Linked DNA regions of Arabidopsis thaliana. The protein of the gene in region 3 binds, or shares a complex with, the protein of the main gene of each other region. Each region holds a gene or a part of one and is shown on either strand. Other genes may lie near its edges. The genes, in order: THO2, TEX1, THO1 and THO5.

What was found.
Region 1: THO1 (region 3) and THO2 share a complex: the UniProt entries of both Arabidopsis thaliana proteins name them as parts of the THO complex.
Region 2: THO1 (region 3) and TEX1 share a complex: the UniProt entries of both Arabidopsis thaliana proteins name them as parts of the THO complex.
Region 4: THO1 (region 3) and THO5 share a complex: the UniProt entries of both Arabidopsis thaliana proteins name them as parts of the THO complex.

What each region holds. Positions count from the first base shown.
Region 1 is NC_003070.9:8,740,221-8,744,973, reverse strand, and holds the start of THO2 (THO2), read right to left. Parts: upstream 3,035-4,753; 5' UTR 2,911-3,034; exon of another isoform or gene 2,824-2,910; 5' UTR 2,765-2,823; coding exon 2,630-2,764; exon of another isoform or gene 2,534-2,629; coding exon 2,408-2,533; intron 2,298-2,407; coding exon 2,256-2,297; intron 1,766-2,255; coding exon 1,706-1,765; intron 1,140-1,705; coding exon 1,077-1,139; intron 871-1,076; coding exon 790-870; intron 737-789; exon of another isoform or gene 524-736; intron 437-523; coding exon 365-436; intron 298-364; coding exon 250-297; intron 144-249; coding exon 75-143; intron 1-74. UniProt on the Arabidopsis thaliana protein: Acts as a component of the THO subcomplex of the TREX complex which is thought to couple mRNA transcription, processing and nuclear export.
Region 2 is NC_003076.8:22,721,979-22,726,700, forward strand, and holds TEX1 (Transducin/WD40 repeat-like superfamily protein), read right to left. Parts: upstream 3,122-4,722; 5' UTR 3,088-3,121; coding exon 3,022-3,087; intron 2,926-3,021; coding exon 2,830-2,925; intron 2,656-2,829; coding exon 2,526-2,655; intron 2,214-2,525; coding exon 2,122-2,213; intron 2,012-2,121; coding exon 1,943-2,011; intron 1,758-1,942; coding exon 1,700-1,757; intron 1,584-1,699; coding exon 1,484-1,583; intron 1,392-1,483; coding exon 1,305-1,391; intron 1,221-1,304; coding exon 1,142-1,220; intron 1,047-1,141; coding exon 911-1,046; intron 812-910; coding exon 777-811; 3' UTR 504-776; downstream 1-503. Other genes in the region: AT5G56120 (RNA polymerase II elongation factor), read left to right, coding at 1-215; AT5G56140 (RNA-binding KH domain-containing protein), read left to right, coding at 3,484-3,674, 4,189-4,274, 4,632-4,722. UniProt on the Arabidopsis thaliana protein: Acts as a component of the THO subcomplex of the TREX complex which is thought to couple mRNA transcription, processing and nuclear export. Contributes to the integrity of the endogenous trans-acting small interfering RNA (ta-siRNA) pathway.
Region 3 is NC_003076.8:3,064,593-3,071,532, forward strand, and holds THO1 (nuclear matrix protein-like protein), read left to right. Parts: upstream 1-1,985; 5' UTR 1,986-2,222; coding exon 2,223-2,225; intron 2,226-2,324; coding exon 2,325-2,408; intron 2,409-2,484; coding exon 2,485-2,559; intron 2,560-2,655; coding exon 2,656-2,758; intron 2,759-2,918; coding exon 2,919-3,064; intron 3,065-3,143; coding exon 3,144-3,215; intron 3,216-3,341; coding exon 3,342-3,414; intron 3,415-3,504; coding exon 3,505-3,570; intron 3,571-3,666; coding exon 3,667-3,713; intron 3,714-3,902; coding exon 3,903-3,974; intron 3,975-4,101; coding exon 4,102-4,227; intron 4,228-4,304; coding exon 4,305-4,370; intron 4,371-4,449; coding exon 4,450-4,491; intron 4,492-4,623; coding exon 4,624-4,740; intron 4,741-4,832; coding exon 4,833-4,915; intron 4,916-5,124; coding exon 5,125-5,191; intron 5,192-5,318; coding exon 5,319-5,390; intron 5,391-5,489; coding exon 5,490-5,540; intron 5,541-5,629; coding exon 5,630-5,689; intron 5,690-5,766; and 3 more. Other genes in the region: AT5G09850 (Transcription elongation factor (TFIIS) family protein), read right to left, coding at 60-128, 213-629. UniProt on the Arabidopsis thaliana protein: Acts as a component of the THO subcomplex of the TREX complex which is thought to couple mRNA transcription, processing and nuclear export. Contributes to the integrity of the endogenous trans-acting small interfering RNA (ta-siRNA) pathway.
Region 4 is NC_003076.8:17,205,464-17,211,529, reverse strand, and holds THO5 (THO complex, subunit 5), read left to right. Parts: upstream 1-1,879; 5' UTR 1,880-2,007; coding exon 2,008-2,259; exon of another isoform or gene 2,260-2,324; coding exon 2,325-2,615; intron 2,616-2,694; coding exon 2,695-3,031; intron 3,032-3,107; coding exon 3,108-3,445; intron 3,446-3,553; coding exon 3,554-3,801; intron 3,802-4,054; coding exon 4,055-4,646; intron 4,647-4,731; coding exon 4,732-4,866; intron 4,867-4,953; coding exon 4,954-5,220; 3' UTR 5,221-5,559; downstream 5,560-6,066. Other genes in the region: AT5G42930 (alpha/beta-Hydrolases superfamily protein), read left to right, coding at 1-412, 541-792. UniProt on the Arabidopsis thaliana protein: Acts as a component of the THO subcomplex of the TREX complex which is thought to couple mRNA transcription, processing and nuclear export.

The DNA.
Region 1 (4,753 bases), on a different chromosome or scaffold from region 3:
TTATTTTTTTTAGCAAAAAATAGTCTCTTGAGCTAAGCATTAGAAGATAAAAATACGAGGAAGACATTCCAAACCTTGGGAAAGATAGGAATTAGATTGAGAAATGTGTCGTAATCTTGTTCGAGTTCAAAGCAATCTAAAACCTATTCATCAAAAACAAAGGGTACATTATTACTAATCGGGAAGGACAGATTGATGCGTTATGCAATATCAAACAAAAATATGACAGAAGCAACAGTGAAAACTTACAATGTCGAAAACACGGTTTGGATCCAGGTCAAAATGCCCAATTAATGACTGCAAGAAAATATAAAGTTCAGAAAAAGTAAATGGGCGAAATATAATGTATTGGCCGAATCAAAACCTTGATAATTCCCATCGTTGCTGCTGATGCATTGTGCGAAGAACTTGCAGATCCTCGGCACAAAAGAGTGGCCTGCACTCCACAAAAAGGAACTGCTATAAGTTGGTGTATGTATAATCTGACTTAATCGAATCTCTACTGAGATAATATGTTCATTACTCTGCACAGTTATAGGTAATAAAACTAGCAGAAGATATGCCTTCCAACTGGAACCGTGTGAAAAGGAAAGGCCAAATCAGCATTGTTGAAAAGATCATCCCTTCCAAAAACTAAAGGGGTATTCCTTAAAGTTGTGTTTCAGAAAAAACAGAAGTAAAGAGTATCTAAGAAAAGACAATAGAAACGAAGTGGACAGAAAGAATGACAATAGATAAAAAAAAAAAAAAAAAAAAAAACTAGACTGCTAGAGATCTTCTATAACGAACCAATTTGGCATATCCCTCGCTTTCTTCACGGAGTAAGTTGAACTTTGTCTGCTGGTACAGAAGACGAGTGTTTAATCGCACCTGAGAAGCATCAACCAGAATTGTTACTTATAAACAATGAGCAGTAGTTACACAGGTAAAGTAGAAATTCTTATAAGCATTAATCTTTCGCAATAGCAATTCACTCAGAGTAACTATTACGTAAATCAGAGCACAGTGCAGCTGCATTGATGACTAAAGTGTGAAGTCATATTAATACAGCAGTTACAGAAGTGTGAAGTCCTCACCTCTTTCCCCTTCAAATCTTGGGCCTTTATTTTAACCATATCAGCTTCCCAGAGAAACTCCTCCTAAAATAAAATAAATAAAACGCCTTCAGAAAATTTTCTTCTTACTGATCAAGAAAATAGAGAGGTTAAGTGGGTGGGGTACAAACTACTCAAATTGGGAATAATAACAAACATTTTAGGACTTGCCCGCTCCTATCCTTTACATCTACAGCAAGAAGAAGAGGGCTATTCCGTGAGACCAGCTGGTCCACTGGATCTTTGAGGACAATTCTTCAGTCTTAAGGGATTAATGTGACATTCGAAACAGGCTACAGCCTTGAAGTTAACTTCTATAACTACCTTAGCAGCTACAATAACTATTATTTAGCAGTCTCTATCTATCACTCCAGACTTGTTCAAGCTACGGTTTCTATGATGGGCAGTAGGATTGCATGATGCACATGCTATATAGATGAGGGGTACCAGTGAGGGAGTTATCGAGAACTAGTGAAAGGTGGAAGGGGGGATAAGAGGGGACTCTATTAAGAAACCTCTCAAAGCTGTATTTTCTTGTTTTAAGTTCTATTAATATAAAGATTCTCTACGTATTACTCTGTTTCATTGGCTGAACGTAACATAATGTTTACCTCGCAACGCTCTTGGAAAAGCCTTTGAGGGACTGTCTGTGATTCCACAAGCCATTTCGCCTACCAAAAAAGAACAATTGGTTCATTAGCTGTGAGCATAGAAACCTTGAGGAGATGGTAAATGAGAACAGAAAGAATATTTTAAGGAAGAAACTAAAGTACGCAATCATCAAATTCAATAAAATAAGACATATGCTAACAACTCCTCTGTAAGCAGCTCATCAGAGAACATTGGATCAAGCATACAAGGAAAATTCAATACCAAACTACGCTAATAGATCATCTAAGGCACTATGGTCAAAGTTTCAGCTCCTTAGGATGAAGTAGCCTTTTACAATCAGGAACTTTCTTGCAACCTGCCCAGGATGAGCCATCGGTTGGTTGAACCTTAGGACACTACTGATAGCTATACACCACATGCCTAATCTATTCATAGGATGTTACTTTTTGTGATCACTAATATCTAAAGAGCTAGAATTATCTTTCCTCAAGACTAACAAATCCAAACAATGATCAATTTTCAAAACGTAAAATAAATTCTAGCACTCACCAATTTGATTAGACGAGAACGTTGATCTCCCGACATGGTAAGCTGCAAAACAAAGCAAAGAGAACACGAACCCAATCAATCCAACGATCAGTATCAATAACCTTGCACAATCATCTCTGAGCTAAGGATGTCAAAACTGTAATTGGACTTACGTCTTGAGCTATCTGAGTCACAACATCCGCAAAACACGAAGCTAATTCTTCTCTCGATGGCTTATCCAAAAACTCCACACCTTCCAACACTGCCTTACAGCTCTGAATTGGCAATTCGCCACGAACCTAATAATCCATCACGAGGCACCGTTGAGGAACTCGAACAACATATACGCGTGATTGGATAGTAGTAGGAAGAGAAGGTGGTGTTTGTGTGTATACCAAAATCCAAGAGAGCTCGTAGAGGAAACGAAGCATCGGCACAGAGCTGGGCAGCTTGGTTCCATAGTTGCCATTCTTACCTTCACGAACAAACTCCTCCGTCACGTACTTACACTCCAGTAGCGGAAGAGACATCTTAAACCCCTTTCGTGTGTATGTATGTATATCTTTCACTCTCCTCCCTTTTCGAAACCCTAGAAGATTAAGAAAATAGGGTTTAGACTTCGATTGGCGACCAGAAAATAAGCATTCCGATAAGATGAAAAGGGAGAGGAACGAACAATTTTGATCAGAGAAGAAAAAGAGAAATTAGGGTTTTTGAGAGATTATTTGATTTGGTGGAAGTAAATTGAAGACGATGATGATGACGGTGTGAAGATGATGCAAATATGTTTTTGATTTTGCAGAAGAGGGGACTATTCTTTTCCTTTTTCTACTACTTACCGATTTTGTTTTTCTGTCGTCTTTTGTTTCAGCAAATTATGTTGTATACAATTTCAATACAAAACCGGGTCCGGTTAAGTCGTATGATTTTGTTTTGAATGGGCGTGAAACTATGAATTGGTTGTTATTGAACAAGCCCATGGGCTCAGATGATCTTTGAGTCCACCACGATACTACTAACAAGGCAATTAGGCAAATATCGAATTAAAAATGTTAATTACATCTTTTGGTCCTAACAGATATAAACAAATAGAAAGCAACGAGTACAAGTACTAGCTAGTAACATACCAAATTAACTAAAATATGGAAACCAAAACCTAAAAAATTTCTCAGCGTTCTTCGCTCCATTCCCGTTTTCAACCAGAATCGTTAACTACTCGGGACAAAAAAACGATCAAAGAAAGTCAGAAAAGATCCATAAGCAATTGAAAAGTTGATCCAACTTACAGTCATCTTCTCCTTCTTCTCCTCCTCGTCCTCCTTTGCTCAAGAAACAACAACAAAAGAAAACGGGTCGGTTTGACCAACGTTATTCGAAAGCTATTTGTTTTAGGTCTGGCCTGTTTATAAACTCATTATGTTAAAATCTAATCCGCTAAAAGTCATTTATAGTTAAACTTAATGTGCCTGTATTGGCGCGAGGGCTGCTGTTATTTTGTTATGTTCAAATCAGTGCTTCCAAATTGCCTCGTCTAGAATTAAAGAATATGCTTAGAAGAATTTTTGTTATATATTAAACATTTTGGTTTTTGTTAGGTTTTTTGGATCACTTATAATTTGTAATGTTGAATTCATTTGTTTTTTTTTATTAGTCAACCAGACTTTCCGACATTATCTATTATTAACTACATGTTTGTGTTTCAGTTTAACTAATTTATTAAGGCCATAGGAAAATCGTCAAATACTAACCACACGAAATAACTATAGATACTGTACTTTGGTGTCATTAAATTCAAATTGGAGTTTCATATTACCCGAAAAATGAATCGTTTTATAATTTTTATGTTAGTTGTTGCGACGTATTTTGGATTGCTTGTATCAGTTTTGTCTTGTAAACGTAACACAATTGAAATTATGAATGATCTTGGTCCCGGTTTGGTTCTCTAGTATCATCGTCATTCAAAAGACGACAATTTAGACGTCGCAAATTTACAATTCAAGGAACTAAAACAAATCCGTTTCGGAGACATGTTTGGAAGAAGGACAAGATGGACTTGTCTTTTGAAACACGGCTTATACATGCGATATTATAAAGATTTTGTAGCATATAGAGCAGCCAACATTGATCGATGTGATGCTCTACGTCGTTAGATTGCTAGAAATGATGGAATTTACCTTGTGAGAAATAGAAATCCTCAACCAAAGTTCCATCATGCATGGAATAAAACTAAGTAATGTTGATGAAAATACTATTTTTGTTGTCTTTACAATTTACGTCAACATTCTTCGTAACCTAAAAAAAAAAAAAAATCTTCATAACCTAGGGTTATAATTTATAGCAAATCAAATATGTATCCATTATATGGAAAACGAATACAAACTACTTTTCCGATCCAGACAAACAGACAGTGTGTCGTCTTTTTTAATTTTTTTGTATTAAATCTGATTAGAAATCAAACAGTATAATTATGTTAAGTGCAAGAGACAAAACCGTGTCTGTTTTAGCCCAACAGTGTCACC
Region 2 (4,722 bases), about 20 Mb from region 3:
GAACGCTTACACGGTGTGTTTTGGAGTTGAGGATGAAAGGGTCGAGCTTTGATTTGTCGAAAGAGCCGATGAGTGGGAAGAGGATGAAGAGTTCAAGCGTTGAGATCAAGTGGAAACCTGTTACTTGGTTCTCTCAGTATTTGATAACTATTGTTCTTCTTTGCTCTGCAGGGTTGTTCTTCCCGGTCTCAAAGTTCATCCTCTGCGGATTTTGACAAACTCTTCCTATTCACTGTTTGTTCGGTAAGCAAATCGTGTGCTCTTCTTGTTCTTTAATCCAAAATTGGACTCTCAGTAATAAATGTGTTTTCTTTCTCAGGACTCTGCATTCTTTCTTCAACCTTCATTGTGGGGATGATGCTTTTGGTCCGATCTTACCATTGGCCTCTGTTCTAGCTTTGAGAGAGTAGCTGTCAAATCTCCCAGACTGAAGATTCGCCGGAGGGAATAAGAACAACCTGTAACTTTTAGCAGTACTCACACATAGTAGAAAATTGATGTAATTCGGGATTAGAATTCTGATCTTGATCTTATTAATTTCATTCTTCGTTAATAATAAACAACATTGCTTGTATAGTAACAAATTTTTGCAATAAATAAAATGCCAGATTCAGAACTGCAAACTTTCAATGTATTTAGTGATACTGTAAGATTATTCCAACTTGATATACTGACAATACATATTTAGGTACACTAGGCACATAAACTTTTTCTAACTCAACAAGGAACAATCAAGTGGAGTTGTGTATCATGTTTCCCGATTCAGTGCTCTGTTCCTACGAGCTCTCAAAACCAAATATCCGGAAAACACCTGCAAAGAGATCCAAGTTGTTGTCATTGTTCATTTTCTGCTACCAATATTAGAGTTTTGAGTTGTTGCTAACAATGAAGTACTAATACGCGGTAGTACCTTCATCAGTATTATACTTGGGATTCTTGTCATCACCTGCATATGCAAGTAAATTGTATTTGGGATTCCACTCAACACTGTTCATGGCTGCCCGACATGGAATCTGATGCACCGTCCGCCCGGTTTGGACATTAGCCTGTTTGGTAGTTAGTGGTCAGATACGAGGAACTAATCTCATATTGAGGAAACTACATTGAAATTAGCAGTGTTTAAGTCTGGGCAATCACTTACAATATCAATGAATAAATCTTCACTGGCTGAAGCAATATACTCTCCCGAATAGTTGAAGCTTATTGTTCTGACTGGCCACCTGTGAGAAATAGTTATAAATTACTAACATGTAACAGAAATTAAACCTTTTTCTACTCTATGGAAAATTCATGTTGATACTCACTCAAGTTTGGTAAATGTTCTCAAACAAAGCATGTCTGAGATATCCCAAAGGCTTACTAAGGAATCCGCACTCCCGACAGCAAAATATCTGTTAAGGTAAAGAGGAAGAATTAGATGCAAAAGCAAAAAGATTATCATTCGTGTCTCAGAGGCCAGCCCACAAATGTAAATATATATTACCTCCCTTTAGGATCAATTGCAATACAATAACACCCGGCTGTGTGGGCTGTGAGAGTGTCAAGTGGTTTAAGAGATGGATATGAAAGAACTTCAACAGTGCCTGAGCAGGACAACATACAAAGTAACTTTCAGTAAGATCATTTTCTCAAGTTCAAAAACAAAGAAATCTTTGGTAGGGAATCGTGTGCAGGAAAGTACAGAATTTAAAATCCTCACCAAGTCCAGTAGTCAAGAAGAAAAAATCTCCAGGCATGTTCCAAGCAATCTCATTAACCTGTTACAAGAAGACAAAAGATAAGAGAACATTCCATACGGCACCAGAAAATTACTTGACGATTATTACATGAACAAGGAACTTAGGTGACATATAACCGCATGAGCTTGAAACAGGAGATACGGAAGAGCCTTATAAAAAAAAAGCCATTAATAAAGATTAACATGAGTCTGAGCTTACGTTACCTCATAATTGAATTTGCGCCTGTGTAGAGGTTTAAACTTACGGACATCCAGAATTGTAAGCTCATCATCCTACATTGGCCAGTAAGAGAAAGGACAACGACTATGAAAAGGGATCTATCAAGTAATCCATAGACAGTAAGAACAATGAAAGTGTAAAGATATGGGGCTCGAGACAATACCCTATTACCAACAGCTACATGTGTCCCGTCAGGTTTGTAGGTGATGTTTATATTCTCTCCACTAAGTTCTACCTGCTGTGTGCATTTTCCACCTGTAGAACTCGAAGAAGACATATCTCAGCAATTGATAGTAAAACATACAATAGTAGCCACATATCAAAAACCTGATCAAATTCCTCTCTTATGGAATCTGGCTAAATAACTAATTTATAATTCTAAGAAACTTAGATCCGATCCTCATCAATCAATAGTCTCCGCGATATGACTCAAAAGCAAAGGCCAAGATTGCGAGAAATATTTGTGAATGACACATAGCTAATCCATTAGAAAATATACAGATTTCTAAACCAAGCTCCAGGCATATTTCAGGAGCAAAACTAAACGATTAAAAGAATATAACTTACTGCGAGCATCCCAAAGACGAACGCTTTTATCACCAGAGGCAGTAGCAACAAGATCTGAATGTTTGGGATCCCAACATAGCTGATCCACACTATCAGTATGACCCTTTAGCTCAAGGTCCTTAGCCTTGCTCTGTATCCACACACCACACAAACAACCAAATTACAAAAACTACATAACTCAAAAAGTAACAATGACAAAGATAATAATCGAGTTTTAACTCAATCTACAATACTTCTCCATATGTATTCATCATCATCAAAAACACATAGAAGTTCCCATAGCTCAAAAAGGTAAAGAAATTACATGACCGTGTGGTTCGATATTCCAAATGCGAGCCGTTTGATCAACAGAACCCGAAGCAAGCTTTGTTCCATTCGAATTCCAAGCTACTGAATGTACCTTCAATCCAAAAATTCCCCCAGATTCAGCAAAAAACTAGGGTTTCGCAAGTTTTATTGAGTACAGAAAATTAGACTGGAGATAGAAAAAAAAAACCTTCTTCTTATGACCTTGATATTCTCTGCTATGTAAGCTCTTGAAAGGAATCGTCGTCTCCTCCATTTTTTAATTCTCAACTCTTCTTCTTCAACCTTCCTTCGCGGCCTACTGAATATCAGAGCTTCGCTTCCTGAAACGCAGCGTTTAGTCATTCCGGTATAGATAAACCGAATCGAATTTTAGTAAACCGGATGTAAAAAACCTTCTAGATGGTTAAGAGTCTTCAGAGAGAAACTAACAAGAAGAGCGGTAAAATTGGGTAAAATATGAAACAAAGAAAAAAGGTGAAAAAAAAAACAGCTAAGCAAACAACAAGTAATCATTTCACAGTCTCTATAAAATGACCTCTTAAATCCACCGACGTTATAGAGAGACAACAACAGCTTTGGTTCTGCCTCCGCCGCTTCTTCTTCTTCTTCTAATCTCCGACAGATTTACTCTGATTCTGTTGTCTTCGAGATGATGATGATGTCGTCGCTTGGTGGTGGTGGTGGTGGAGGAGGAGGAAGTGGTGGTGGTATTGGTGGTGGCGGCGGAGGGAGGTTTATGACGTATTCGTCGTCTCTTTCGGTGCCTCCTTCTGCTCCTCAGTCTCCTAATTACTCCGGTGGTCTCCGATCACAGTCTTCTGTCTTCGTTGAGCAAGAGAAGTAATCGAATCTTAGTTTTTCATCTTCTTTTATATTTTTGTTTTTTATTGTTTGGTGATCTTTTATAATTAGCTGATGTATCTGATGAAGTATGTTGATCTTTGCTTTGCTGATTTTGATTTTTAGATCTTAATAGTGTATCTCGAATCTGGATTTTTGTCTTTTTTGTTTTCTTTTGATTATATTAGGATCTATGTTTCGGAACTAGCTCAGTCTATTTCAGATTTGTCTCAATCCAGTTCATTTTTTGTAAAGCATAAGTCTTTAGTGTGTGAGGATCATTTCATTGGTTGTGTTCGTTTCTGTTATTGTTGATTTCTGTTCTTGGCTGATGAAACTGTTAAAAAAAATACGATTTTTGGAAGATTGACTAGATCCACTTCACAAAAGAATGGAAATTTGAATCTGGTTGTATCGATTTAGAGTGAATTTGAGTGTATCTGTTTGTAAGTTTGATGTGTCTTTGAGGCTTTTTTACTAATTTGGATACTCTGCACAATTTCTGTTTTGGCAGGTATCTTTCAGAGTTACTTGCAGAGCGTCATAAGCTTACTCCATTCCTGCCTGTGCTTCCACATGCATTTCGGCTACTAAACCAAGGTGAGCATTACTGTTTTTGTTGTTTATTATTTGTATTTTCATCTCACATAATACTTCATTCTTTGCTTCAGATTCATGAAGCTATAATACAGTTGATAAACTCTTAAACAGTACTGCTAAGAGAGACCTAATTGTTAGCTATTAGAAGTAGATCACGAAATGACTAATTCTATATTTCTTATACTGACTTCATTCTATTTAACCAGAGTGTATTTAACTAGAGTGAGAGCAAAAATATATTTTAAGCTAACTCAATTAACTATGCTGTCTCTCCATTCATTGGTGTCTTGGTGACTGATTTGTTGACTAATTCTAACTGGTGCGTCTTACTCTTGCAAATTGACATTTTTGGAACAGAAATTTTGCGTGTAACCACACTGTTGGAGAATGCTACAGTTTTAAGTCAGAGTGGGCTTGACCACCCTAGCCCTCTGGCTTCTGGAGGGAT
Region 3 (6,940 bases):
AAAAAACTATCAAAACAATAGAAGAGTGTCCTTACTGAATTAGAATCAAGTTACATTACCTGAAGAGCTTGGAATGTTATATCCATATCTTCCAGATTCTGAAGCAACTCAACCAAAGATTCTTCAGACTGAAACCACAAACAAAACAAGTTTCCGTCTTCAAGCTGAAATCATCAAATCAAGATCCAAGTGAAAAAAACTTTTAAGCAAACCAGATCAGGATCTTCAAGTTTCTCCTTGATTTCAACAATACTCTTCTGCTCATCATCAAACAAACCAGCAAAGGGATCGAAATCGTCATCGTCTTCAACATTAACAGATTTCTCTCTAACTTCTTCTTCTGCTGCTGCTGTTACTCCTTCTTCATCTTCCTCCTCCGTCTCCTCGTGAACCCTCCCATTATTAACCCTACCAATCGCCGCCTCCGTAACGTTACCACCGCCGCCAAAATCGCAGTTTCTACACTTGTTAGCCATCGACGTAGCGTAGAGACGCTCGACGATGTTATCTCTCCGACGTTTCAGTTCTTGACCATAGTCAAGAGACGCAACAAGAATCGCCGTATCGATAAATGTCCAAACATCAACACCTGCGTTATCCATAACCGATCGGAAATCATCCAAATCCATTATCACCCACACTCCTCCTTCTTCCCCAAATTTGGTTACTTAATAAAGAATTCAAAACGAAAAACAAAAAACAGAGCAAATCGAATTACGTAACCAGATCTAAAAGATGAATCTTTTGATGAATTTGATTCATCGGAGATTAAAAATCGTGAAGAACCAAACAAAGTTTAGATTTCAAATAGTTTAAAAGATAGACAAATAAAAAAAACAAAAAACAGAAGAATCAGATTGGTAAATTCAGATTAAAAAGGAAGACCCTTTACTGTTACGAGGAAGAAAGAAACAGAGGAGGTCGTCTCACATAAGATCAATAATGAGTAAATGGCAAATTAAAAAAAAAAAAGGGAATGAAGAAGAAAGGGAATATTCCAAATTTGAGGCTTTAGAATTTGGTTTGGAGGGTTATTGCTTTTTCTTTCATTCTTCTGCAAGTTTTTTTTTGTTTGGTCCGTTAATAAAAATAATATTCAGACAGAATCAATTAACAGTTTTAGGACAAAAGTAAAAGAAGAAAATGGGAATTGCTTTATTGAGGGATGATGCTCTTTGCCCTGGACAGAGCAAAGCTAAGCAAGTTGGTTTGTTGTGGTTGGGGAGATGAACAGCTCTAGAGAGAGAGAGAGAGAGATGTGAGTGTTTTTCTTTCAATAATGGCGTTTACTTTTTTTAGTTTTTCTTCAAGTGACGAGAAACATTTTACATGTTTCGACTTTTTTGGTTATTGGGCCTCTAAATTTTTGGCCCTATAGCAAGTGGACCCAATATGTCAAATCAATATTTTCATTTGGTCTCAAAGTGTTTGTTTCATGACTTTCATCTCATGAGCCACTGCCACTCACTAATCGTTTAGTGAATTTACGTCGACGGTACAATCAAAACCCCCAAAGAGAAGATCACATCCGAGTTTTTAGGTGTTGAAGGAGGTGTTCGATCCATCAAAGTTTACTTTGTTAGGAAGTAATGTTTATTTATCACTTGTTGAGTGTAGATTATGAATACAATGTCTTTTATGCAATTATTGGAACCTAATATTTATCTCGAACAATTTCGAGCAATTTTTGAAATCTTCAAATCCTTCTCATGTGAGCTATTATGATTTCTTCTGCAATAACATACCATGAACAATTTCGAGCAATTTTTGAATACAGATGTTTTAAATTTCTAATTGATTTGATTCCACACATTAAAACTACGCCATATCCAACATATACAGGCAAAGGTCTTCTGTAAAACTAAATAATGTGAAGCCCACCACCCAACGGATATCATTTTACTATGAAAGGCCCAATGAACATGTTGTTATTCAGTTTATAAATTAAAAATATTTCGGATCCAGATCCAAGCCCGGATATTTGCGGATAATTTGATTGTTGGGAGGATATCTTCCGGATCCGGATCCACCCTAAATTAAAATTGTTCTTCCTCCACTCTTCTTCAAGTTTGGCCTCCGTTTCCAGATTTTTATTCAATTCTTCTTAATCAACTTTTAAAATCCGGCGACTCATAGTCCGTGAATTTTGACCGGCATATCCGGTTTTGGTGTCGTCGGTAAATTCCTCTTCATTGCAGTGGAAGCTGGTTCATTGAGAAATAATGGTAACTCTTTTGGGATTATGAGACTTGTTTTCTTTTGCTTCTTGTTAAATCTATATAGCTTATAAAAACTTGTTTTCTGCAATTTGTGGTTCTTCGCAGGATGCATTTAGAGATGCTATATTGCAGCGAGCTCCAATTGAAACCTTTGCACTCAAGACTGTTCAACACTTTATACAACCTCAGGTAACTCTTTCGAATCAACTAACAATTTCTTCACTCCTTTAGTCTTACTTATTGTCTTTATTGTAAAATTTGACAGAAACAAACAAAGTTGGCTCAAGATGAAAACCAAATGCTTGAAAACATGCTCCGGACATTGCTGCAGGAGCTAGTGGTCTCTTCTTTCTCCACTATTATATTTTCGTGGTATGCGTATATACTTGTTCATTTATATATGTGTGGATTTCTCTTTCTGTTTTCGGGGTTTCAGGCTGCTGCTGCGCAATCAGGGGAGCAAATTATGCAGTATGGTCAGTTGATTGACGATGATGATGATGATGATGATATACATGGACAGATTCCTCATCTTCTAGGTTAGCAATCTCTCTAGTCTGATTTGCATAGTTCGTTCAAACAAGTGCTAGCGTTGTCCCCGTAAAACTTCTTATTCTCTTGTTGTCTATTGCTTATCATCTTGTCCTCACTACTTTTGTCTAACCTCTCACCATCTTCATGTTTTGATTGCTTTGTTAGATGTTGTGCTTTATCTTTGTGAGAAAGAGCATGTAGAAGGTGGCATGATATTCCAGCTGCTGGAGGATTTGACCGAAATGTCTACTATGAAAAACTGTAAAGATGTTTTCGGTTATATTGAAAGCAAACAAGATATATTGGGCAAGGTATTTCTTAAACGAAATCAAATTTTTTCTCGGTTAGTTGTATCTTGTATTTTGACTTGGATGTTGCAATTATTTGCAGCAAGAGCTTTTTGCACGCGGAAAACTTGTCATGTTGAGGACTTGCAACCAACTTCTCCGCCGACTCTCAAAGGTTCGCTATCTGCACCCTTTTCTAGTTCCCTTTGTCAAATATCCATAAGTCATAATCTACTTTTTCATATATAACACATCCACTCTTTTTTAATTCTTTTTTTTGCTTTCACTATTTGGCATACAGGCCAATGATGTTGTATTCTGTGGAAGGATTCTTATGTTTTTGGCTCACTTTTTTCCGTTATCTGAGCGCTCAGGTAAGAAGGGTTTCTCGTGCATATACGATTATTTGGTATGTGAATGTTTAAAAGGTGTGTAACGTTTACTTGCGTGACTTATTCTTTCAGCCGTCAATATAAAAGGTGTTTTTAATACATCTAATGAAACCAAATATGAAAAAGATCCTCCAAAAGGCAAGTGATTTTTTTTTTTCTTATGCTTTTGGTCCTTATCTCCATATGACAATTCTAAAACGTGTTACTTATTCTGTCTATGTCATTGCTTCTCAGGCATTTCTGTAGATTTCAACTTCTACAAGACATTTTGGAGTTTACAGGTGCGTATTAGTTAAAGGAACTTTGTAGGGAACGAATGTTATGCCTTTATCATAAGGGTTGTCTCATAGAACCTCTGTTTGCATATCATGCAAAATCAACATTACTGGAGATAGCATCTCAAATTTCCTTTTGTTAGTTAGTTTATTGAGATAGTTCTTTTCTTACTGAGAAAATTGTTTCGTTTCCAGGAGTATTTCTGTAATCCCGCTTCTCTTACTTCCGCATCTACCAAGTGGCAGAAATTTTCATCCAGTTTGGCGGTATGTGATCTTTGGTTTTTGACTAAATTGCATTACCTGGTCTTGTATATATGTATATGCATAGAAAATTCATGCTGGCGGTAGTGAGAAATCATCTTAGACCTTGTTTCTTGAACTGCTTATGTAGGTTGTTTTAAACACCTTTGATGCTCAACCACTAAGCGAAGAAGAGGGAGAGGCTAATAGTTTGGAGGAAGAGGCAGCAACTTTTAATATAAAGTACCTAACAAGTAGTAAATTGATGGGTTTAGAGGTAAGTATGCTGTGGTTGGACATGCGCACTTCTGAACTTAGCAGTTCACTCACTTTTTTTTCTACCTTTCGCCACAGTTAAAGGATTCGAGTTTCCGACGACATATTCTTCTCCAGTGCCTCATTATGTTTGATTATCTAAGGGTAAATGTCTCTCAAGAATTATTGCACGGAAATTACTCTCTCTGGTATTCTGGTATAACTGAATCCTGTTTCCGTTTAGGCACCAGGGAAGAACGACAAAGATCTGCCATCTGAAACCATGGTCAGTGTTTTTTCTTGTTTAATGAGAAAATTCCTCTTGCTTTCTTTCAAAGGTTCACAAACCTAGTTATATCTCAGTATTCAGGGTTTTATGCATAATTACTCAAAGGTATTGTTTATCTTTTCGGTCTAGAAGGAAGAACTTAAGTCATGTGAGGATCGTGTAAAGAAATTGCTTGAGATCACTCCGCCTAAAGGGAAAGAATTCCTCCGTGCAGTTGAGCATATACTGGAGCGCGAAAAGAATTGGGTATGTGTGCTGCTTTCTCTCTTACCTGCTGCATGATTTTCTGGCTTGTAGTTGAGGGCCGTTAATGATCTTCTACAATACACAAATAACAGGTCTGGTGGAAACGTGATGGATGTCCACCATTTGAAAAGCAACCGATAGATAAGAAATCACCTAATGCAGGGCAAAAGAAACGGTATGGGGAAAAGCTGACCTTGTAATCTAACTGCTTTGTACTCATAGATGGTGTCCGCCATTCGAATTTAGAATACATTACGTGGAAGAAATTGAGAAGATGTTTTTTCCCTAGTGATCTCTGGTCGCTAGTCCATTAAAGTGAGAAACAACTAATAAATCTGCATTACGAGTATTAGGCTCAATATGGGTTATCTTTTGCTTTTACAGGAGACAAAGATGGAGATTGGGAAATAAAGAACTCTCCCAACTTTGGAGATGGGCAGATCAAAATCCGGTATGCATTATTTTTCTTTGCATCCTTGTTCGTTGTTCATATTATGCCACATGCTTCTCCAGCTCTCCTCTCGGCTCAATCTTCATATTACGACTCTACAATAATTGTATATCTGATGGGATAACAGAATGCTTTGACTGATTCTCAACGCGTGCGAACCCCTGATATTGCAGACTACTGGAAACCATTAGCAGAAGATGTGAGCTAACATACTGTTTTCTTTATTTTTCCCAAAGGACATCTTAAAAAAAATGGTTGATGTCTTATTAGCACACCTGATGTTTTGTTAAAATCTCAGATGGATCCATCAGCTGGCATAGAAGATGAGTACCATCATAAAAACAACAGAGTATATAACTTTCCTCTGATTTACAACTTTTTTTTTTATGATGCTTAATTGAATCAGTCTAAGGCAGATAATTGTTACTGTTTTGATAGGTTTACTGCTGGAAAGGTCTTCGGTTTACAGCTCGGCAAGACCTTGAAGGATTTTCTAGGGTAAAATTTTCTTCGATTTCGATTTCCCAATGCTTCATATGATTGCTTTTTAAAACCTTTTTCTTTCTTTTTCACAGTTTACTGAAATGGGAATCGAAGGAGTTGTCCCAGTTGAACTATTGCCGCCTGAGGTCCGGTCCAAATACCAAGCTAAACCAAACGAAAAAGCCAAACGAGCGAAGAAAGAAGAAACCAAAGGTGGATCTCATGAAACAGAGGGAAACCAGATTGGTGTTTCTAATAGTGAAGCTGAAGCTGAAGGAGGAAGGGGTGATGCAGAGACGATGGAGAGTGATGCTATTGCAGACACTCCTACGCCTGAGGAACAGCAAAGACTCGGTGGTTCTGATACAGAAAACGGTCAAGAGGCCGGTCAAATCGAAGACGGAGAGACAGAAGAAGCTGGTCTGATGGACACTGATCTTGATCATCCTCCTATGCCCGTCTCATGAATACGCTTTCAGTTTGTCGACCCTTTCTTCAATGGGGAATCCTTTGGATATGAAGTTCAAAAGTATTGATGTTTAACAAATTATGTTAAAAGGTATTTTCTAAATATGTTTGTATGAGTGCAAATCTGCTAGCTTATTACCTGTCTTTCCATTTCTATATACTCAACAAAATCATCATACAATTAAGTTCTTTTGCGTAATTTATCGTCTAAGTGTAACACTAGACACATATTCGCAGCTAATAAACATTGGATTCAATTGCAATCCACTAAAAATACACTCAAACAAACAAAAAAATCAAATACTTGAGGAACCAAAAGCTAAAAGTGTTACTATTATAGCTATCAACATAAACTTTATGTTTTGCCATCAATATTTATTTAGAATATAAATGAGTGGTTTTTAAGTCGTGTCACGATTTTTAAAGTCCATAAACACCACCGATCTCCATATAATAATAAGGTTTCATCATATGCCAAATCCAATAATACGTGAAACTATACCAGTTCATTGTAGGCTTATTTGGTTATATTATTACTACCTCCAATCATTGAAAATGTATATACTTTGTTTAGTCGTTATCACTTGTCAATGCATATCAAATCACCTTATAAATTTACCCAAATTCACTATTGAATTGTTGATGCACTGTCACATAAGATCACAGTTGTCTTATAGTCGTCGCACTGTTATGACAAAAAAAGTGTCGACTCATATTGAAACAAAAAAAAGACTAAACAATGTTGGCACAGCGATGCGATAAAGAATCGACCAAGAGACAACCGAGTGATTTGTGTTG
Region 4 (6,066 bases), about 14 Mb from region 3:
GCCTAAAGAAGTAAACCTTGACGAAACCCAAAACGCAACAACTCTATATGCATACTACACTGTTAGGCGTCACTTAAAAGAAATCCTCGACCAAAACCCGACATCTAAATTTATATTGACCGGACATAGCCTAGGTGGGGCTTTAGCGATCCTATTCACGGCTGTTTTGGTGATGCATGATGAGGAGCAAATGCTAGAGAGACTAGAAGGAGTTTACACATTTGGACAGCCACGCGTAGGCGACGAGGAGTTTGGAAATTTCATGAAAGATTCACTAAAGAAGTTTGACGTGAAGTATGAAAGATATGTTTATTGCAACGACATGGTTCCTAGGTTGCCTTTCGACGACAAAACACTCATGTTTAAACACTTTGGGGCATGCCTTTACTATGACAGTTTCTATAAAGGAAAGGTTGGTTGCATATATATGACAATCTTGTTTCTTTGCTTTAATCACTCATCCGTCTAATGTCGCTTACGCACTTACCCTACTGATGATATCTATCTACATTGTTGTTGTTTAATTTGTATTATGTTCAGGTAGAGGAAGAGGAACCAAACAAAAACTACTTTAATCTCGTATGGGTTTTACCAAAGATAATGAATGCACTGTGGGAGTTGATACGTAGTTTCGTCATGCCTTATTGGAAAGGTGGAGAGTTCAGAGAAGGATGGTTCTTAAGGTGTTTTAGGGTTGTTGCATTGTTGATTCCTGGATTACCTGCTCACTTCCCTAATGAGTACATCAATGTTACTCTTTTAGGTGACTTACCTGACTCGCATCTTGATTAAATTTTGACGAAGTCATAAATTCTTTTGAAAAGTTGATGTGTTTAGCTTTTCTAGGGTCTCGTTTCGGTGATGTAGGTGTTATTTTCTTATTTTGGCCTTAGATCATCCTTTCTTTCTCGCAATGATTCTACGTCTCACTTTATCTTTATCTGCATCAAGAAAAGAAATGCATAAATATTTCAATAAATACTTAGTGAAACGATTCTCTTACCTGCGAGTTATACACACAAGCAAACCAATATAACAATCAACAAATAAATCATGAAATAAATCAAACCAATGAACAATCATCCATTGACACAACCATCTCGGGGGATTGAATAATGGTACCAAAAATACTGCCTATACATACAACAAATAAATCACACAATCTCAATTGCTTAGATAATCTCATGGTCACATACCCACCTCGAAACAAGAATGATTTTGAAACCAAAAACAACAATCCCACAACGAGCAGTAACTTCCTACTCACCAACAATATCTCAACTCACCATACATCCAACTACAACAGCAAACCAACCTTTAACCTAAATTGGAAAAAATCTGAAAATAACCCAAACAATTGGTCTCAAATATTGAGTCACGAATCGCAATCTAACCGTCCAATTCAAATCTCCACCGTTGAAACTCAACCCTCAAGATGTCCTGAAGCTAACCTCAAAGTTTAGTGATGATCTGACCGCAGGTGCACTCGAGATAATTTGTTTAATACACTCTGGTCTAAATCACGTCTGAAACAGAGGACTTTACGAAAACACAGATAACTTTTAGAATATTAACTCAAATCCAAATCCGCAAAGTGGTAAATCTAGTTATAAGGCTTAGCTACAACTCAATAAAATTTCCGTACCATAGAAGGCTATTTGATTGATCAAACCTCTGTTCTACCACGACATATCTGATATGTCTCTCTCTTCCTTCACCAAAATTATCAAGTAGTTTCCTTTTTGGTGTTTTTTACATAATATTTTTGATATCAAACCAAATTTTTTCTTGTCTTTATACAGAATTTTCTGAAAAAAAATGTTACATAATCTCTTTTACGCAATTATCATCCCATCATGGAGTAGATATAATATTTGTAACAAAATATAGTTTACATAAAAATCATAAATAGTTTGACAAAAAAACAAAGAACAAAAAAAAAGAAGAAGAGAAAAATCATAAATCCTGTCAGAAGTACCGGAGCGAGCCTGACTGGAGAAATCGAGAATGGAGGACGGCGAAATAGAGGAAGGAATGGTAACTGCCGACGAATTCCCGACGCCGGAAGTAACTACCATAGAGACTATACAACCTCCCCGAGAGCCAGGAAAATCTCCACTCGAGCTACTTCGAGAGAGCAAAACCTCCGTAGAAGAAATCGTCGCGAAGATGCTCTCCATGAAAAAACAAGGAAACCACAAATCTGAGATTCGAGAACTCCTCACTCAAATGTTCCTCAACTTCGTCAATCTTCGTCAGGTACTTACCAATCTTCTCCCTCCACCTCTTTCGCTATACGATACTTATTAGGGTTTTTTTCGCAGGCGAATCGGGCGATTTTGACTGAGGAAGATAAAGTGAAAGCGGAGACGGAAAGAGCAAAGGCACCTGTTGATTTCACGACATTGCAATTGCATAATCTTATGTATGAGAAGAGCCATTACGTTAAAGCTATCAAGGCTTGTAGAGATTTCAAATCTAAGTATCCTGATATTGACCTTGTTCCTGAACAAGACTTCTTTCGTCATGCTCCTGAAGCTATCAAAGATCAATCGCTTTCAAGTGATAGTTCTCATGTTTTGATGCCTAAGAGACTCAATTTTGAGCTTCATCAGGTTGGTTAATCATCACCATCTCTGAAATTCATTCAACGTGATATAATGTTTCATTACCTTTTTATGTTTTTTGATTCAGAGGAAAGAATTGTGTAAGCATCGAGCGAGATTGGAGCAACAGAAGAAGAGTTTATTAGAAACCATTGCGGAGCGTAAGAAGTTTTTGTCGAGTCTTCCTCTACACCTTAAGTCTCTGAAGAAAGCATCGCTTCCAGTACAGAACCACTTGGGTATACAGCACACAAAGAAACTGAAGCAGCATAATTTAGCTGAGCTGCTTCCTCCTCCGCTTTATGTTCTATACTCACAGCTCTTGGCACAAAAGGAAGCTTTTGAGGAGAGTATTGAATTGGAGGTAGTTGGGAGTCTTAAGGATGCTCAAGCTTATGCTAGACAACAATCCAGAAAGGACTCAGGTAAGTTGTTTTGAAAATTTACTGTGTTTTCTAATACTAAAACGAAAAGAATGCTAATTTGGTATTGGTTTTTCAGGTATGTCGAGTAATACAGAGAGTTCTAGGTTGGAGGATGATGGACCTGATGACGATGATGATGGACAAAGGAGAAGAAAACGACCCAAGAAACTTACTAGCAAAGAAGGTTCTGACAAGGCAGGATTATATCAAGTCCACCCTCTCAAAATTGTCCTTCACATATATGATGATGAGATACCAGATACAAAATCCTTGAAACTTGTCATTCTCAAGTTTGAGTACTTGCTGAAGTTGAATGTTGTATGTGTTGGCGCTGAAGGCTCTCAGGATGGACCAGAAAAAAACATATTTTGTAACTTGTTTCCAGATGACGCTGGACTTGAGCCTCCTCATCAGGTAACTTTTTGTTTCTGTGTTTCAGTTTTCTTCTACATGTGACTTTTGATGGCTTTACTTTTAAAAATGCATACTCAATTCTCTTTATATGGCCGGTTTTCCATGCAGTCAACCAAGCTCATCCTTGGTGATGGTCAGACGTTTGATGAGAACAGAACTTCAAGGCCTTATAAATGGGTACAACATTTGGCGGGAATTGATATTTCACCGGTTTTATTAGGCCAAGAAGCTCATAACACTGACCCAGCTAAAAGTGATACGTTTGTGCCTGATCTTTCATTGTATCGCCAGCAGCATAGAGTGCAAACAGTTCTGCGAAGAATACGCTTGCGGAAAAAAGCGCATCTGGCTCTTGCGTGAGTTCACCACTCTGTATGTTTTCCGTCTTAATTAAAGAACACGATGCAAAGAATTCCAGAAAATTAGTAGACCACCATGATAATCAGCATATGGTTTGTACATTTAATAGTTTGGGTTTGTCAATAACTTGGCGGTCAATTTAATCCCTCTGTAGCATTGTCAACTTCGTGATAAGAGCTTCTATAGGTAATTATTTCTGTTGATATGTTTATTTTTGCTGAATACTTTGGAAACTTCTACTGGCTACAGGGAACAGCTTGATTTGCTTATGAAACATGAGTTACCAGTGGTGAACTGCGAAGATGCTCCTTGGGCACTGCATAAGGTTCTCTGTGCTTTGGATTCCTGGTTACATATACAATCTTCAGCTAGTAAGTCATGCTCTCTGACTCTGAACAGTGTGGAACAAGTTCCAGAACCTATGGAAATCGATGTAGATGGAAGATCTATTTCTGGAAAAGAAGATTTTGAAAGTATACGGGAAGATGGAGAACTTCCCTCTTTGGTCACGGCGGCTGCTTCGTTAACCAGTTCCAATCATACCCCATCGAAAGTATCTAATCAAGCACGGTCAAGGCAGTTGGCCTTGATGACAAAGAATCTAGATTCTCCGATTAGCAAAGGAAAGTCCCCAAGTTTCAAGAAATACGAAGATGATTTGGATCTTGTTCTGGACGATGATAGTGAAATAGATGAGCCAACCGGAAGAACTGAGGCGCATGTGGAAGAGTTATGCCCTGAGAAAGCTGATAATTCATGGGTGGATTATGGTTCGAGAGAGTTTGCGCTTGTGTTCTCCAGGAAAACAGATGGCGGAAAGTTGTGGAAGTTAGAAGCAATGGTAACTTCTAAAACACTATCTTCTAATACGGTATCTTCCCTATATCTTTTTCTTTCTTAAGTGTTAAATCGAGTTGTATTGGCAGGTACAAATTAGCATGGAGTATCCTCTTCGACCTCCTTTGTTTTCTCTGTCTCTCCACGCATCTTCTTCATCAGGAAATGAAAATGGGACAAATGAAAGTGACCATTACAATGAACTTCGAGCAATGGAAGCAGAAGTAAGTGTCAAACCCAGTAACATATACTAATCTTTACTCGATGACACCAAAGATAACGCCTTTGTAACCTTTTCGTGGCGGTATCAGGTGAACCTTCATATGTTGAAGATTATTCCTTCAGATCAAGAAAACTATCTCCTATCTCATCAAATCAGATGCTTAGCAATGTTGTTCGACTATTACGTGGATGACCCATCTCCAGATTCCAAAAGAGGAACAGCCACAACTGTGGTTGATGTCGGTTTGTGCAAGCCTGTTGACGGTAAGCTTCTTGTGAGATCATTCAGAGGCAGAGATCACCGGAAAATGATCTCATGGAAGGGCAGAGGATGTGCATCGGGTTATCCATGCTAGAGATTACATCGCCACTCACTTCTCTATATTATCTTTCTCTGGTGGTACAAGCAAAAGTTTTTGCATGTAACATTTTTTTATCGTATAAACCGTTATTGAAACAGCCTACTTGTTGGGTGAGGACCTGGTCTGTTTTAAACCTGGCAATGTTTCAAGTCCAATCCGTTTTAGCCTGCTCTGTTTTGGTCTCGATTTAAGCATTAAAGCCTAGCGGGTAGCTTGGAAACTAGAAAAGTGAAAAAGGGCTCGTCACAGGTTTTGGAGAAAAAAAAAGGAATCAACTCGTAGACAACCGTTATTACAGGTTGCTACTGCAATCATTGACAAATGTTGTTCCTGCAATTGGAGGTAGTGAAGAAAACAAAACCAAATCAAATTGGATATTAGTTTATAACTTTCAAGTGATTATATAGTTTGATTTACTTTAACTTTTAGTTTTTTTGTCATCTTATTTAAGTACAATTACCAAGGAAATATGCAAGTTTGAATTACAAGAGCGGGCGGAAAATAAATACATCCCAAAAACTTAATCCAAAAGAAGGAAGCGAATCCCTAAATTACAGGAAAACTGTCAAACGTAAATTTTTACATATCAAAAAGACAAAGCAAAATCAAAGGCATGAACGAAGACCTAAGAGGAACCACGATTTGCTAAATTCACTCCCATGTCCCAGGAAGAACAAAGCCAACCACAAAAGACAGTGAAATTTTTCGTGTTTTGTTGCAAATGAATCAACACTGAATTTTTTTGATTTATTATAGGAGTTATTTTTGTATATTGCAAATGAATCAATAGTGAAAAAATTTAGCAGCAATTATTGAGCCTATAATATAATTTTATAGTTT